2 linked regions of the Astyanax mexicanus genome follow. The protein of the gene in region 2 interacts with the protein of the main gene of each other region in a pairwise test. Links are inferred from orthologs where the notes say so. Each region holds a gene or a part of one and is shown on either strand. Other genes may lie near its edges.

Region 1 (7,786 bases), on a different chromosome or scaffold from region 2:
ATTTTCTTGCTTAAGACTAAGCTTTTGATAATGTGTATTGAATTGTGAATAAAATAAACAGCAGTAGAAACACTTAAAACATATGTATCATTGGTGTCAATCCCTTAAAAGATATTTGTATTTATCATATTGGTACTGAACAGTATTTTTGGGACGGGAACAAAAACAATGCTGTAGTGTGATATTCACCTGGCAGACTAGATCCTTTTTTACTGTATTATACATTCCATACTCAACAGCTTGAAAAGAGGAAACCTGTCATCAGCTGTGTGTGTTTGTGTGTGTGAGAGAGAAATACAGAGAGAGAGAGATGGAGAGAGAAAGAGAATAAACTTCGCCACAAATAAAATATAATCTACCTTATTAACTGAACAGTAAGTGTTGCTGTGTTATATCACTAAATAAAATGCGTCACCAGGCTCTGTCAATTTTGTCACATGACTCATTTAGTTCAAAATATTAACGCGTTAAAGTTTTTTAGATTAATTGCATGCATTAACATGTTAATGTTGACAGCTCTATTATTTTTATTAGATGCCGATCACTGCAAATTACTGCTCAACAAAATATGGCAATGTCAGTTTTTTTTCTCTATTTAAAATTATAACCAGAATACATATTTGAATTATAGCTATGGAGCCCCTAAGGTAAAATCATGTTAAAAAAATAATGCATGGCCATGACTTATTAAGGCGTGGGAATGAGATCCTAATGTGTAGCCACAACTTATTAAGGTGTGGCAATGAGTTAATTAAATCATAGCCATTAAGGCGGGGCCTCCTTTTGTTTTACAGCTAACAAAGCAAGCAGCTCTCAAGGGTTGTGCACAATATAACTGCTTAAGGAAGGTAAATTAATCTGCATACTGTCTACATCTAAGCCCGTCAGCTTTTTGTATGAGAATTAAAAAAGTCCTTTACTTAGAATTATGCCCTGTCTCACTGCAAGAGACTCATAGGCAATAAAGGAGAACTCTGGTGTAAAATTGACTTTGGTTGTAGTAAAACATGATAAAGATTACTAACCTTTACTGAATAGCCCACCACTGCTCTCCCGCAGCTTTCTGAGACCCAGAAATGGCAAAAAGCACTCTTTACAACGGGAGCTTTGGGGCATCCAGATAAAGCACTTTTACACTGTTATCCAGGCTCCACACTAGGGGTGTGCCATATCATATCGTACACGATAATATCGTCAAATCTTTTAAATATCGAGAACGATATTATACCCTACAATTTCGTGCCATATCACCCATCCCATTTCCCATTATATATCTACTAGAGACAGTTTATATCTGTCCAGTATCATTTATTTTACTTTAATCCTGGATATATGGAGATATTTGGAGTGCATTATTATTAGTATCATGACATTCTGGATCATTGACTTCTGCTACAAATCTGATAGAATTCTTGTATTTTTTAATATCTCACTTAGGGGTGTGCAGTATTATATTGTATGTAATAATAAAATATTTTTTTATTTTCTTGCAGTGTATAGTGTATTTTTAAAAATAATATTTTTAAGTGTTTTGTCATATCACCAAGAGTATCGTTATCGCGAAAATATCATGAAATATCGTGATATTATTTTAGGGCCATATCGCCCACCCCTACTCCACACCTCAATAGTAGAATCCACAGAGCTCTGACACTTAAAAGGAGGCATTTATAACTTTAAAAATTAACAAGAAGCTTATTAAAAACACTGTTTCCAACTCTTAGCACAGCCTAATCTCCGGGTGGTTTTAATAAGCTTCTTGTAAAGAGTGCTGGGCAAAAAGCACAAAATACTGGATCTTGGAAAGCTGGGAGAGGGGAGAGCAGATGTGGGCTATTAAACAATGGTCAGTACTCTATCATGTTTTACTACACCACAAGTAAATTTTACACCTTCTCCTTTAATTTACAGAAAAGCAAGCTTATTATTCTCTGGACACAACTTAATTAACTAGTTCCCACGCCTTAATAAGTCTCTTGCTTAATTATCTTATTCTTACGCATAAGGATATCGTTCCCATGCCTTAATAAGTCATGGCCACGCATTATTTTTTTAACATGATGTCAGCTTAGGGGCTCTGCAGTTAGCTAATGGAGTGAAAAGGGAAATATTTTGTGGCTTCCCACATACAGCGCAAGACTGCAAGCCAGAACTCTCATGGGAAAGAGAGAAATGAGGCAGCAGTAGGTTTCATTTTCAGTCTGATCAGACTGCTCAGGCTACTAAGGTTATACTTCCCACTTACGTTGCCTGATGGTTTCAAGTTTAGTAAAGTTAATTAGCTAGTCGATAAAAAGCTGACAAATCTTTCATATTTTTCACCTTTTCGCTGCTGCCTGTCACACGCTCCGGATCAGACAGCTGTTGCCGAGGAGGGCTGGGCTCTTCCCTGCTCTGCTAAGTTAATACACGGCTAGGATAACGATAATAACTTAGTTAGTAAGAGCTAACCTAAAGCTAGCTAACGTTAAACACTGATTTATTTACTCTCTGGTCCCTTTAAAGCGCTTTAAACCAGAACACGCTTAACGTTAACGGTTTAATTAGAGCTCGGTTGTAGTTAAAAAGTTAAAAGTTGTATAATTCAGTCTCTTAACTGGCTTAAATAAGCTAGAACTGGGCTGTTTAGTTCGGTTTAGTTCAGTTTGGACCGGTTGAAACAGTTAACGCTAGTTATCGCTAGGCTAGGTTAGCTAGGCTAGTTAGTTACCACTAGCAACGCTAGTTAACTAGCCCCCTCGCTGGGTTAACTAAGTTACCTGAGGCTGGGTTTCCCCCGTTCTGTCAGTCGGGCTGCTCCTCTCCTGCTGTTACTGAGGTGTTGAAAGCTGAAGCGTCTCCATGTCCGAGCTCCGCGGCCGCAGGTGTCGGTAAACTTCCGGGAAAATGTTGTCTTTATTTTCGGTCCTGCTCCTTCGGGCTCCTTCGGGAGTTCGGGAGTTCAGCTTCGTCGTGGCCGCGGACCAGGCGCGCTCCCGCTCAGCGCTCGCTTCATTGATATGTGAGGTGAGTCGCGCGCGCGTTTACAGCTGTGTACCTAACTAGTCTGAACCAGCAACGTGCACGCGCGTGATGGTGTGGTCTACCTATGTATATATTATATTATAGTTTTTGACCCACGGTCGGTCTGCTAACTCAGCTACTAGCTAACACTAGTGTTACTACACTGTAAGCCCAGATATGTTAAAAAAAAAAAAAAAAAAAAAAAAAAAAAACAATATTAACAATAGTAACGTAATGGGCAATAAACCATTAACTTAACATATATTAAAACATCAAATTATTACTACTGAAAGGAAAGATTATTTAACTTTTTATTTTTTGTTATACCAATAATTTGCCCAACAATTCCACATTTCCATTTTGTGTTCCAATAATTAGTTCTAAAAGTATTAAAATCAATAAAACCACAAGGGTGCCCAAATTTATGCATTTTGTTTAAATAATTATTATTGCACACTTTCTGTAAATCCTATAAACTTAATTTCACTACACAAATATCACTATGCTCATCTGCTATATTATATATTTATATAAAACTGCTGATCCAAACAACCAATGATTTATAAGGAAAATCATAAAAAAAATATCAGGGGTGCCCAAAGTTGTACACACCACTGTAAATCAGAAACAATGGCTATTTCCAGCTTTATATTCATTACACATTCGTATTTCTTTTCTTTTTCTTTTTTATTTTGCATACATAATACAAATATACAATTCACAACAGTTTTAAAGTTTTATTATTGGTTCTTTGTATTTTTACCGCAGAGTTCGAAAGAATGGAACTAGAAAACTTTATAACTAGAAAAGTGTGCAAGGAAAGTTCTAAGGTGTTGCCATCCGGAACAATAGTTCAGGGGTCAGGGGCGATTCTAGGATCAGAGTTTTAGGTAAAGCCAGCCTCCTTTTTACAACAACAAAAAAGCTATAGACTTTCTGTAAGATCCCAGTAGGAGTGAGACCGACCAGTGGCCCAACATCTAGCTTCTCTTACTCCAGTTTAAACAATGGCTGAATGACAGGCTGTAGCATTATTTTAATAAATGAAGGAAAAGCAGTAACTATTGTTTAGCATCTCCAGGAACTCCTTTAAGAAAAAAAAATATTTCAGGTGACTCTACCTCATGAAGACACTGAGATTAAAATACCAAGAGTATGCAGATCTGTTCTCAAAGCTAAATGTGCTATTTAGTAGAATCTAAAGTATAAAATATATTCTGTTTTTTGTTTCTGTATAGGTTTAATGCCTTCAGTAATAAATTTACAATGTACAAGATCATAAAAAAGACATTGAACGAGAAGAGGTGTCTCTAAACTTATGACTGCTACTGTTAATAATACCAACATACAGCTCTAGAAAAAAATAAGAGATCACTTAAACACTTTAATATTACCAAATTGAAAACCTCTGGAATTTAAATCAAGAAGAAGATGGATGCTCACAAGCCATCAAACCAAGCTGAACGGCTTGAATTTTTGCACCAGGAGTGGCATAAAGTTATCCAAAAGCAGTGTGTAAGACTGATGGAGGAGTAAATGCCAAAATGTATGAAACTGTGACTAAAAAGCAGGGTTATTCAACTTGTACTTGTTTTGTTTTTTGCATCTTTTTTTGTTATTTCAGCCATTTCTCATTTCTACTAATAAATCCTGTAAATGACAATATTTTTCTTTGGGATTTGGGAGCAATGTTGTCAGTATTTTATAGAATAAAACAACAGTGTTCATTTTACTCAAATATATACCTATCAGAGAAACTGATTTAGAAACTGATATGGTCTCTTATTTTTTTGTTAGAGCTTTATGTTAATCAGGTCACACTGGATGGTTAGGCCTTCTCAGTTTTTTTCTCGCTTTCTCGTTACAATAAACGGTGAGCCAGAGCGAGGAGTGTCCGTACACTGTGTCCGCGGGGACGCGCACAGGTGCGCGTGCCCGAGCACAGCAGTCAGGGCGCTGCCTCCCTTGAGTCAATAAAAATACACCCCCGCGTTCCTGGAGATAAGCACGACCAGCAGCAACAACAGCAGCAGCATGACCTGCGTTACTCAGCCCAGCGAAACGAGTCCTTCCTTTATGTTGAAACAGCTACCAGCAAGGAATGTGTTTTCCCAGCTTTACTGGCTTATTTGATGGCTTAGGAGACAGTCATCAGCACGAATGTTGAGGGCAAGTATTATAGATAGTTTCTATGTGTTATTTGTTTGTTTGTTTTAGCTAAAAATACGTTTTTGTGTTAAACATATAACATTGTGCAACTGACCAGTTTACGTTTATGTGGTGTTTAGACATGGCTTAATAGCGCCTCTGTAGGTCAGATGTGCTACTGCAGCACTACTAATGCTAAATCAGTGTTTCCTAAACTTTTACATGTCATGCCCCCTCTGGAGGAAGAACCTTATAAAAAAGCTCACACACTAATAATTCATTGGATCACCTTTATGTTTGTATTGTTTTGATAAGCTTCTGCAATGTCACAAGATTTATTTAATCCAGTGTTGCATCAATTTTAACCAAGATCTTGCAGCATTGATGATGGTAGAGTCTGACCGCTGCACAAAACCTTCTCCAGCACATCCCAAAGATTCTCAATGAGGTTAAGGTCTGGACTCTATGGTGAACAATTCATGTGTGAAAATGATGATCTCATGCTCCCTAAACCAATCTTCCACAATTCCGAGCCATGAATCCTGGCATTGTCATCTTGGAATATGTCCGTGTCATCAGGGAAGAAAAAAATACATTGATGGAATAACCTGGTCTATATTCAGTATATTCAGGTAGTCAGCTGACCTCATTCTTTCAGTAGATACTGTTGCTGAACCTAGACCTGACCAACTGCAGAATCAACCCCACATCATTTACTTCCAGGTAGTGATTTTTTTTATCTGCCCACAAAATGACAAGCAATGAAGTGTCAAGTAATGAAGTACAAATACTTTGTTACCTTACTTTTCAGACGGCTTTTTCACGTCTACTCCTTACATTTTAAAAAATAGCCTTGTTACTCCTATTTCATTTCAGCTTGTTTTCATTGAGATAAAACTTTCCATCTAGATAGAGTGTATCTGATTGTGGTTGGATGTAGAGAAGTATAAACATAACCATACTGACCCCCTATTGGTTTGTATACGATCCATCACACCTCCACATCATGTCAGTTCATATTTCAGCAAGAACGTAGCAAATGTATGTAGTCTAGTATGAAGATGATCTGTGGCGGAGACTCAGCTTCTTTAATATATTTGCATTGTATTAAAATATATTCATTTTCAATGAGTACATATGCAGCTGAACCAGGGAGACATCCCAAATTTAACAACATTAACATTTTAGTATAACATTATGGTCATTATGGCTTTTATAAAATGTGTTTTGGGGAGGGGGGGATAGTGCACTATAGGCTCCTGTGGCGCAACCTAAGCTTTTGTCCTTAATGGCTTTTTTTTGGCTTACATTACTTTTACTTTCGTACTTTAAGTAGTTTTAAAAGCAGTACTTTTACACTTTTGCTGGAATAAAATACAGAAGTATTTTTAAACCCTACTGTCTATACTTCTACGTGAGTAATGAAAGTAAATACTTTTGACACCTTTGCTTATCTCCTACAAAAAAATCGAGCTTCAAAACATTAATTCCAAATGACTAATTAATTAATGGTCACAATAATTTTATGTTGTCTCTATATGAATTTTTAACAGCAGTTTTAGCCAGCAGTTGAAAAATATATGCATTCATCATGTTCATTAATGTCATGACAATGTTGGACATTTAGTGATTTCTTTGTTCTGTTCTTTTTCTGGGACAGAATGATTCTACAACTTATAGCGGTAAAAAAACTAAGACATTGCATCAGGTTGTATAATGTATTAGACGTTGTGTCAGATGTATCAAGTGTGTTCCAAGTGGTTGCTAGGTGTTTAGTATGATCAGTATTTAAGTTTTTTTCTGGTTCTTTATAGTTTTAAAAAGCAGAGTTTGAAATAATATAACTACAAAACTATATAACTAGAAAAGTGCACAAGGAAACTTCTAAGTGTTACTGTGTGGTTGTTGTGGTAATAGGTTGGTTGATGTTGCTATTTGTAAATAAATTAAATTTCACTGCTAGTTGTACTGTGCAAGACTATGTAAAAAACGATGTCAAAGTGTACTTTCAGTTTGGATTTACATCACTGTGGACTAAGCGGCTGCTGTCCAAAATGGAAACCTCTGCTCCACAATCAACATCTTGAGACATGTTTAATATTCATGTGAGACAACATATGTCTTGTTTTGTTACTTGGAGTAAAGGTGAGGCATTTAAATGCAGGAGCACTGTTTCAGCTGTTAAGCATGGGGGTGGGTGCATCATGTTCTGGGGCTGCTTTTCTGCCAGTAAAACGGGTACATTGCAAAAACTGGATGGAATAATGATGTAGGTGGACTTCCTGCAAAAGAATTAGCCAGAAATTAAAAATGCGTACAAAATTGGATGTTCAGTACAGTGACCCCAAACACATATCAGAAGTGATTGTGGAATTGCTAAAGCAAATTCAGTTAAATTTAGCTAAATATGAGGCCAACGCTTAAAGGGTGGGTTTTTGCCTATAAAACAACTAATGTAATTGAATTTAGTTGTTTAATACCAATAATGAGTTGACTTTAGAAAATCCCACAAACATATGTATATAAGTCTTTTTTTAATGAATGTTGCTATGCAGTATTGCCAGAGCATGATAATTATACATAAACCCCCATCCACAACTGTATGTAGGCCAATGAGGCCAATGGGGCTGTGTAA
Region 2 (7,998 bases):
CCCTCAGCCCGGAGGAACCCAGGCCCGAGCCGGATCGGGAGTGGGCAGGGTAGAAGAGCGAGGCGCGGTGGGCGGCGGCTCTAGAGGACGAGGTGGAATGTGAGTGGGCGTGGTAGGGGTGTGACGGGGAGGAGGGGGAGGGGCCAGGCGATGTTCCGGACCCGGAGTTCTGTGGGAGTTCGGGGGGCGACGCCAAGCCGACATCGATGGCGACGAGCTCTTTACTTTCCAGCTCCTGTAAAATAAATAAATTAAATAATTAATTAATACATTTAATTTAACATTTTAATTTTACATGATTTGCGCAGAAAATACTGCATTTGCAATTTTCAAAAAAGTTTAGAATTAATGTTTTTAACACGCTATAAAACATTACGGTGAAAAACTAATGTACAATATTTAGTTACAAAACATAAGCAGAAAATATTAAATAAAACAATATTATTTAAAAGAATGACACACGACAACATGATGAAGAGTGATGATAAAAAATAATCAATTAAAATAAATAATGATGGCTATCTGCAAATAATATTGATGACATTCAAAATCTAAATCTGCAGTTTCGCCTGTCACAATAACTTTTATATATCCATATTTTTATTTTAAGACCATTTTAGTGGCCTTAAACATTTAATTATTAAGAATATTTAGACTTTTCAGACTACTTAGAATTGAAATGATGCTCACGAAGCAGAAAAAAGTGACACAATAACTGTGAATAATATATGATAAACATCATTAATATCATTTATATAATTGCCAATTGATTTATGTTAAAATTAATATTCATCAAACTGTTGTTGCTCAAATATGTTAAATACTGAAATCATCTTTAATACATTTAAAATCTTTTTTTCTGAGTATGTTCTGAGCATCAGTATTCTGGGAAATATTTAATTTTACTATATTAAACAGCATATAAACTAAACAGACTCACTAGTTATAAATATGAACAGATGTAACAGAAGCAGTTTTAGTGGTATGGAGTGGAGAACGAACACACTGACATCAAACTGCTGATAATGCATTACATCATTTTGGTCCAGATCCTCTGGCTCGTTCCCATTGGTCCCTCCGATCCCTGGAAAAAAGACAAACAAAACGAAAAAAACGTGATAAACTTATATAAATATATTTTTGCCTTTGCTGATAATTTATGGTGTAACAGATAACCGACAATCAGTGATCTGTCCAAATCTCCCTCCTGCCCCGCCCCTAAACCCATACATCACTCAGTCACCCAGTGACTTCATCGCAACGTCACTTTGTTTTAAGATCGTGTAGCCCTAATAAACACCACAGACAGGATGCACCTGGATATCTGAGGAGGAACAGGTGAGACAGGTGGAGTTTACCTGGCCCCGGGGAGCTGTTTGTGACGACGTAGCTCCCGTCTCCATCCACATCCTCCAGGTTAGTGATCAGGTTCGGCACCAGAGCCATCACTTCTCTCTGCACCTGCAGGAAACGGGGAAAAGAGAGTATTAAGAAATAGGCTTTAAAGAAACTTTAACATTTATTTTATTTATCTACAGTGTCTCATGTATAATATGTATAAAATGCTGTAAAATAACAGTGCCTTCAGACTTTTGGAGAACAAACCAACACCTGTTATCCTTTTTAATTCAGATAGAATTTAGAGAATTTAAGCTAATCTTTATTTATTTTATTAGTTTTAAAGTAATACATGTGTAATATCAGATATCTGCTCAGAATTCCCACAAATCAATTAATCAATAAATCAATTAACCTTTATTTAGTCTCAGATTTAAATTGAAACTAAACTGAAACGGAGAATCACCTCATTTTAAATGTAGCTGAATATTTAATATTGAATGAAGAAAAACTAAAAATTAAAATAAAGTTTATGCGAGCGCTGCACTTATGGTGGTCAGTGTGTATCTGTGTTATAAATCAGGTCAAACTTTTGGAACTGGTCCGAGACCAAAAAGCAAAAAAAGCAAATTAAAGCTCTATCTGGACGGGATGATTTTCTCAGTGTAGCATCTGTGTTAAATATTTCACACTTCTACTCTTTAGTGATTAAAACTCCTGCATCCGGGCTGCAATTGAATAAAAAGGAGGACCAGTGAGTTTTTAGGCTTTAGTTTTTCTCGGTCACATGACATCATCACGGCGTTCAGTAGCTCCTCCATTTCCACTCGCTGTTGTGTTTTTCTTACGTGGATCTCCATGGAAACTATTGCGCGTCCAAAATGTAATTACGGTGCGCGGCAGTGGACAAATATCTATTTTATTAAAAGTGAGGAAACGAAACTCAGAGATGTGCGTCCGGACAGGACTAAAATTACCGGAGGAGCACGGAGTTCAGAGAAAAACAGTAGATAATTCAGCCTGTAATTTTCTCAGAGGACGTCCGAGAAAAACACGTACACTGTAAACCCGTACGTTTGTTTGAACTCAAATGATTTAAGTCTGTTTTACATAAAATTGGATTTTTCTAAACAATACTCAACTATTTTGAGTTACTGTACTATTCAAACTGAGGACTTTGAGTTGAACCAACTTATAATAACTGAGTTTAGTCTGTTTTGCCATCAACAGTTTCTTTTCTATTGGCTTCTTTCACACTCTATTTGCATACTGGGCGTGTCCAACAGTTTCTGACAGACACTCACCATCAGTGTGTAGTGATTCCCCCCCTGGGCTACCTTACAAATAAATCAACTTCCCCTTTAGTTGTAAGACCTTAATGTTTTAATTTATAATAACTCAAAAAAATTGAGAAAATCAGCTGCCTTAAAAAAAAGTTAGGTAAACTCAACTTATCTGGTTCTTACATATATGCTAAATGAAGTTTTTATTACCCATTACTTAACTTTTTAAGTCTCAATTTTTTTAAGTAAATTTAACTTATCCGGGCTTACAGTGTACATGGTTGTTCTGGACAGGAATAAAATCACAGAGGATAAAAACTATCCCAAAACCCCCTGAGAAACTAATTCCATCCAGATAGGGCTTTAGAGATGTATTTAATAAGACGGTAGTGACTGTACCTGTGTGAGGGCGGTGAGCGGCATCCCCGACGCCTGCTGCTCCTGCCGCCTCTGCAGCGCCACCCGGCACTCCACCTTCAGCCTCTTCCACAGGGTTTTGAGGGAGCCCACGCTGCTGGGCGGCCGGTTGGGGAAAGCCTCGTTGAAGGCCTGGGCGAGTTCGGCCCACACAGCGTTCCGGTACACAGTGGTGTTGGTGTCTTTACGGAAGTCCTGCACGGCGTCCACCACGCTGTGGATCTTCTGCAGCAGGTAGAGCTTCTGCTCCAGAGTGAAGTTGGGCATCCTGTACGTCATGGTGGTGAGCATCTTCATTTGCGATGTGTGTGAATATGAGAGTGTGTGTGTGTGTGTGTGTGTGTGAGGAATGCTGTTGGTATAAAGTCAGGAAGGATCACACACAGAGGAATAAGGCTGCTGGTCAGTCGACTCGTTCATGGAGTTCTAACCTGGTATACAGAAGCGTCCATTTACGTCCAAAAGTACAAAATGTTCTATATGCTATAAACGCTACATAACAGAAGTTATGGGGTTATGTATTCATCACAGGTCTGTTGTGAATTTGGTCCCTTCGATAAGCGTTAAGTCACATTTGATGCGACATACTTAAAAAAGAAAAAGAAAAAAAACTACAAAATATATAAACTATATTTTAAGAAAATAACAAAAATATAAGTTTAAGACTCTGTGTGTGTAAGGCTGCTCGGTCAACAACGGCAACATCCACACGGTGGGCCTGCTGTCCGTCGACGCATCCGGGATCTGAGGGGAAAAATAAAGATAAAAATAAATACTTATTAAATATCTTTTGACATAATAAGTAAGTTGTAAGTTTTCTTTATTTTTTTAATTATTATTTTTTTTACCACTGAACAAATTAAATAACCTTAATGAATTTCGCTATCTAAAAACTACAATTAACAATATTTATTGAACAAAAAAAAAAAGAAAATCATAAAATGGGATAAATATTCATTATTCCCCATTTTTGTAAAAGTGAAATAAAAAACTAGAACCCTGGAAAATAACTTTTTTTTTTTCTTCACTAAACCAAATGGAAAAAACACGTGAAGCATATATAGCAGATACATGGTTCATGTAGTCAGTCTCTCTGTAAGTTATAAATGTGTAATATCACTATCTGTTTATATGTGCGTTTTATCAGATACCGGTAGATATGCATATTTTACTGGCTATCAGTAGATATATACATTTTATCGTTTATCGGTAGATAATACACATTTTATCAGATATTGGTATATATATATATATATATATATATATATATATATATATATATATATATATATATATATATATATTTTTTTTTTTTTTTTTTTTTATAGAGATTTTATTGGATATAAAAGTAGACACACATTTTATTGGTTATCAGTAGATATACACATTTTATAGTATGTCGGTAGATATATAAATTTTATCGGATAGCAGTAGATATATACATTTTATCGATTTTGTCATATACTGGTAGATAATACGCATTTTATCAGATATCGGTAGATATGTTACATATTTTATCGGGTTAAACTGTCAAATTCTGTAATAATTGTGAGTATTAGTGGGTAATAACTGAGCGCTGTTAGGAGGAATTCTGCTGCTGTAAGTGATCAGCTCTCTGTTTCTCTACTGTTTTATTAATTTACTGCGGGTTTTTTTCTGTTACTGTGTTAAACTGTGTTTATTTAAAGGTAAAAATACAAAAAACAAGCCTTATATTAGAAGATGCTCCCAGCAGAAGTGTATGTAGGATCGTTAAATAGCTTAAATCACTGTATCACAGTAAAATGAAGGTATAGATAAGATAATACTTTATGAGTCCCACAGTGGCGGAAATTCACAGTATTATATGATATACACATTTTATCGGTTTATCGTGTATTGGTAGATATACACATGTTATCGGTTATCGGCATCGGCTCAGACTTCCTGAATCAGTGCATCCCTACAGAACAGGAGTAAGTTGCAGCAGGAGAGCAGGAGAAAAGCGGGAGTTTGAACAGGATATAACAGTGTTACAGTGAGTAAATCTGCAGTGTATAATGTGTATATTCTGAGGTAAACGCTGAGAGAGTGTTTACAGCTGAAGCCCTCAGCCCGAGACTAGGTTTAATCCCTCTGTCTGCCCGCTGTCTCCCTCCCACACATTGATCTCAGCTCAGATTTATATTAATATCATTATTACACTGTAATAAATATGATATTACACATTAATGCGCTGATTCTGATGCAGTTTCGGGGTTTTAGCGCCTCTAAAAGCCTCAAAACCGCAACTTTAGCCCGTCTGTTTAGCCCGCTTAGCCTGTTAGCCGTTAGCCGCGCTGCTAAACCGCTGCACCGTATTAGCGGGTTAGAGACTAGGATTAGGGCTAACGCTAAGGCTAACATTTCCCCGCGCGCCCAAACACACCGAAAACACCCCACGAGCCCCGCGCTGCAGCCCGCGCGCCCCGGTACACTCACCTGCACGCGGAACGATTGAACTCCGCTATAAATGATACTTTGTTGCTCCCACCCCTTTATGTTTGAGCGGCCCGCACCAAATTCAAACAACAGAGAGCTGCTCTGCGCAGCGGCCGCAATCTGCGTAACCGGGGGAGCGGGGCAGCGGCGCGGTGCGCATGCGCTGCGCAAATCCCCGGATCTACAGATCATACCCGCCTGGGATTCACTAACACTGCGCGGAGCAGATGATCTATAGATCTGCGTCTGAGTGCCGCCGAGACTCCGCTCATAATAATAAACAGCCGGAGAGATATTCCTTTATTCTTATTACTACGCTGTAACACGCTGCTCTCACACCATATATATACACCCGGCAGATAAAACGAATAATAATCTGGATATATTCTTCCTTTTATTCGTTTTTTTAACATTCGTTATTGAATGTAATGTAAAAAAGAACATAATAACCAGAAGTTTAAAGAGAATAGTTTTTTTTTTTATTGAAAGTAACAAATTATGTCCAAAAAATCATTAACATTCCCATTGGATAAACTATAAAAACTTAATTTCTTCAAAAAAGTCAGATACCACATTACAAAATTGCAATTACTAAACCCTTAGAATTGTTCATTTGTATGTTTAATAACCCCCCCCCCCCAAAAAAAAAAAATCTAAAAAGCAATGATGGAATATTTAAGCAAACATATGAAGGAAAGAATGGACGCATTGTGTGTCTATAGATAGACATTTTTCCTTTCTTTCTTTTGTTGTTTATAACTAATTATATGTGTTTTAGAGGCAAGTGTTTTAGAATACATTTTACATTGTATTTCTATATTACATCAATTGAACACATTATATTACACAATCCAATAAAAAAATAAAAACAATGCATTCCCATAGAACTGCAATAAAATAAATATATAAACTAATTGGAGTGCAAAGAAAAATAGAAATAGATTTTAAAACATTTTAAATATTTATTGTGAAATTTGCACATTGACCAAATTGCTGATATTTAAGAATTAAAATTGTATGTGTTAATAGCAGCTAAGAAATATATTTAAAAATGTTTTTATTTAATTATGAAATTGCATATTTAACACAATTGCTGATATTTAAGTATAATATAAATGTTCATAGCAGCTGAAAAATATATTTACACTTTTTATATATTTGAATATTTTATTGTGATTAAAATATATAATATATTTTTGGGTTATGTGATGTAGGTGATATCTTAATTTAAATTTTGCATTTTAAATATTTGTTTACTACGCCACCGCCATAAACATAACCTAAAAGAGAGAAAAGTCTCCAATAACTGATAATTATATATTATACAAAAAAGTATTAGCATGATAAATAACCTACATAATACAAGATAAGAATACATTTCTAAAAAGTTTAGACAAAATATGATTATATGTGTTCTCCAGTCGTGTTAATTTTGAAATTGTGTAATTTGTTAATTTACTTTAAAGAAATGTAACGTAAAAGAAATACTGTAGAAATATAATGTTTAAAAGTCCTCCAGTAGGAGCGCTTTGATCTACAAAGGGGGCGGGACGCTTCAGTATGCTGGGCTGTGATTGGTCAGAGCTTTCGGTTGTGCGGAAGTTACCCGGATAAACACACATGTCTGCCCGCAGTGAGACACGCTGGTGCTGAATATAAAGAGAATTGAGTTAAATTCTGTAATAATTCGGATTATTTAGTTTATATATTTGTGTGTATGGAGTTGTGAGTATTAATAGGTAACAACAGAGCGCTTTTAGGAGGAATTCTGCTGCTGTAAGTGATCAGCTCTCTGTTTCTCTACTGTTTTACTGATTAACTGAGTGGTTTCTGTGTTAAACTGTGTTACTCTGGTGATTATTTAAAGATAAAAACACAATAAACAAGCACTATATTAGAACATGCTCCCTGCAGTAGCGTAGGTAGGATATTTAAATAGCTTACAAATCTGTATCACAGTAAAACTAATGTAATGCAATGTATTTTATCTACCTTAACAGTACAATATATACAATATAATATAAATAATAATAAGTAAAGAAATCTTAAGACTGCATTTACAAACAACTGCACATTGCCTCTTGGTTGCACAGAGTAATGGAACAATATTGTACATTATGTTACACATAGAGGTGATTGGAAACAGTCTTTTATGCTATATTATAGTTTAATAATTTTAATAAAAACACTGAAGCAAATAATGAAAAAAGCTCAGGTTGTTTGATGCACCCAAAAAAAGCCAAATTATCATTAAAAACAGAAAAAACATAAAATGATTAAATAATAAAACATGAAATAATTGGCAGATAAATTGTTAGATTTTTAAAAGTATTTAATTTGTAATTTTTGCAAAAGATTTACACCTAAAATGGGACTTATGTTTCTTCACTCAACGTTTATGAATGAATAATTTCTCTAAAAGTACCAACAACTAACTTTATTGCAAGCAGTTAAATATGCAGAATGTTGATTAGTCAGCATTACCGCAAAGCCTGAGGAT

The links.
Region 1: the proteins of wdr6 (region 2) and ptpn3 interact in binary tests that used the Homo sapiens proteins (3 or more experiments, as listed by UniProt). The two-hybrid records come from large-scale screens. The link is inferred for Astyanax mexicanus from reciprocal best matches to the Homo sapiens genes WDR6 and PTPN3.

Annotation. Positions count from the first base shown.
Region 1 is NC_064408.1:109,502,405-109,510,190, reverse strand, and holds the start of ptpn3 (tyrosine-protein phosphatase non-receptor type 3), read right to left. Parts: upstream 3,008-7,786; 5' UTR 2,760-3,007; intron 1-2,759.
Region 2 is NC_064419.1:49,950,284-49,958,281, forward strand, and holds the start of wdr6 (WD repeat-containing protein 6), read left to right. Parts: upstream 1-4,982; 5' UTR 4,983-5,054; coding exon 5,055-5,055; intron 5,056-5,498; exon of another isoform or gene 5,499-5,631; intron 5,632-7,100; exon of another isoform or gene 7,101-7,274; intron 7,275-7,998. Other genes in the region: fibrinogen silencer-binding protein, read right to left, coding at 1-235, 1,011-1,084, 1,359-1,461, 3,021-3,335. UniProt on the Homo sapiens protein: Together with methyltransferase FTSJ1, methylates the 2'-O-ribose of nucleotides at position 34 of the tRNA anticodon loop of substrate tRNAs. Required for the correct positioning of the substrate tRNA for methylation.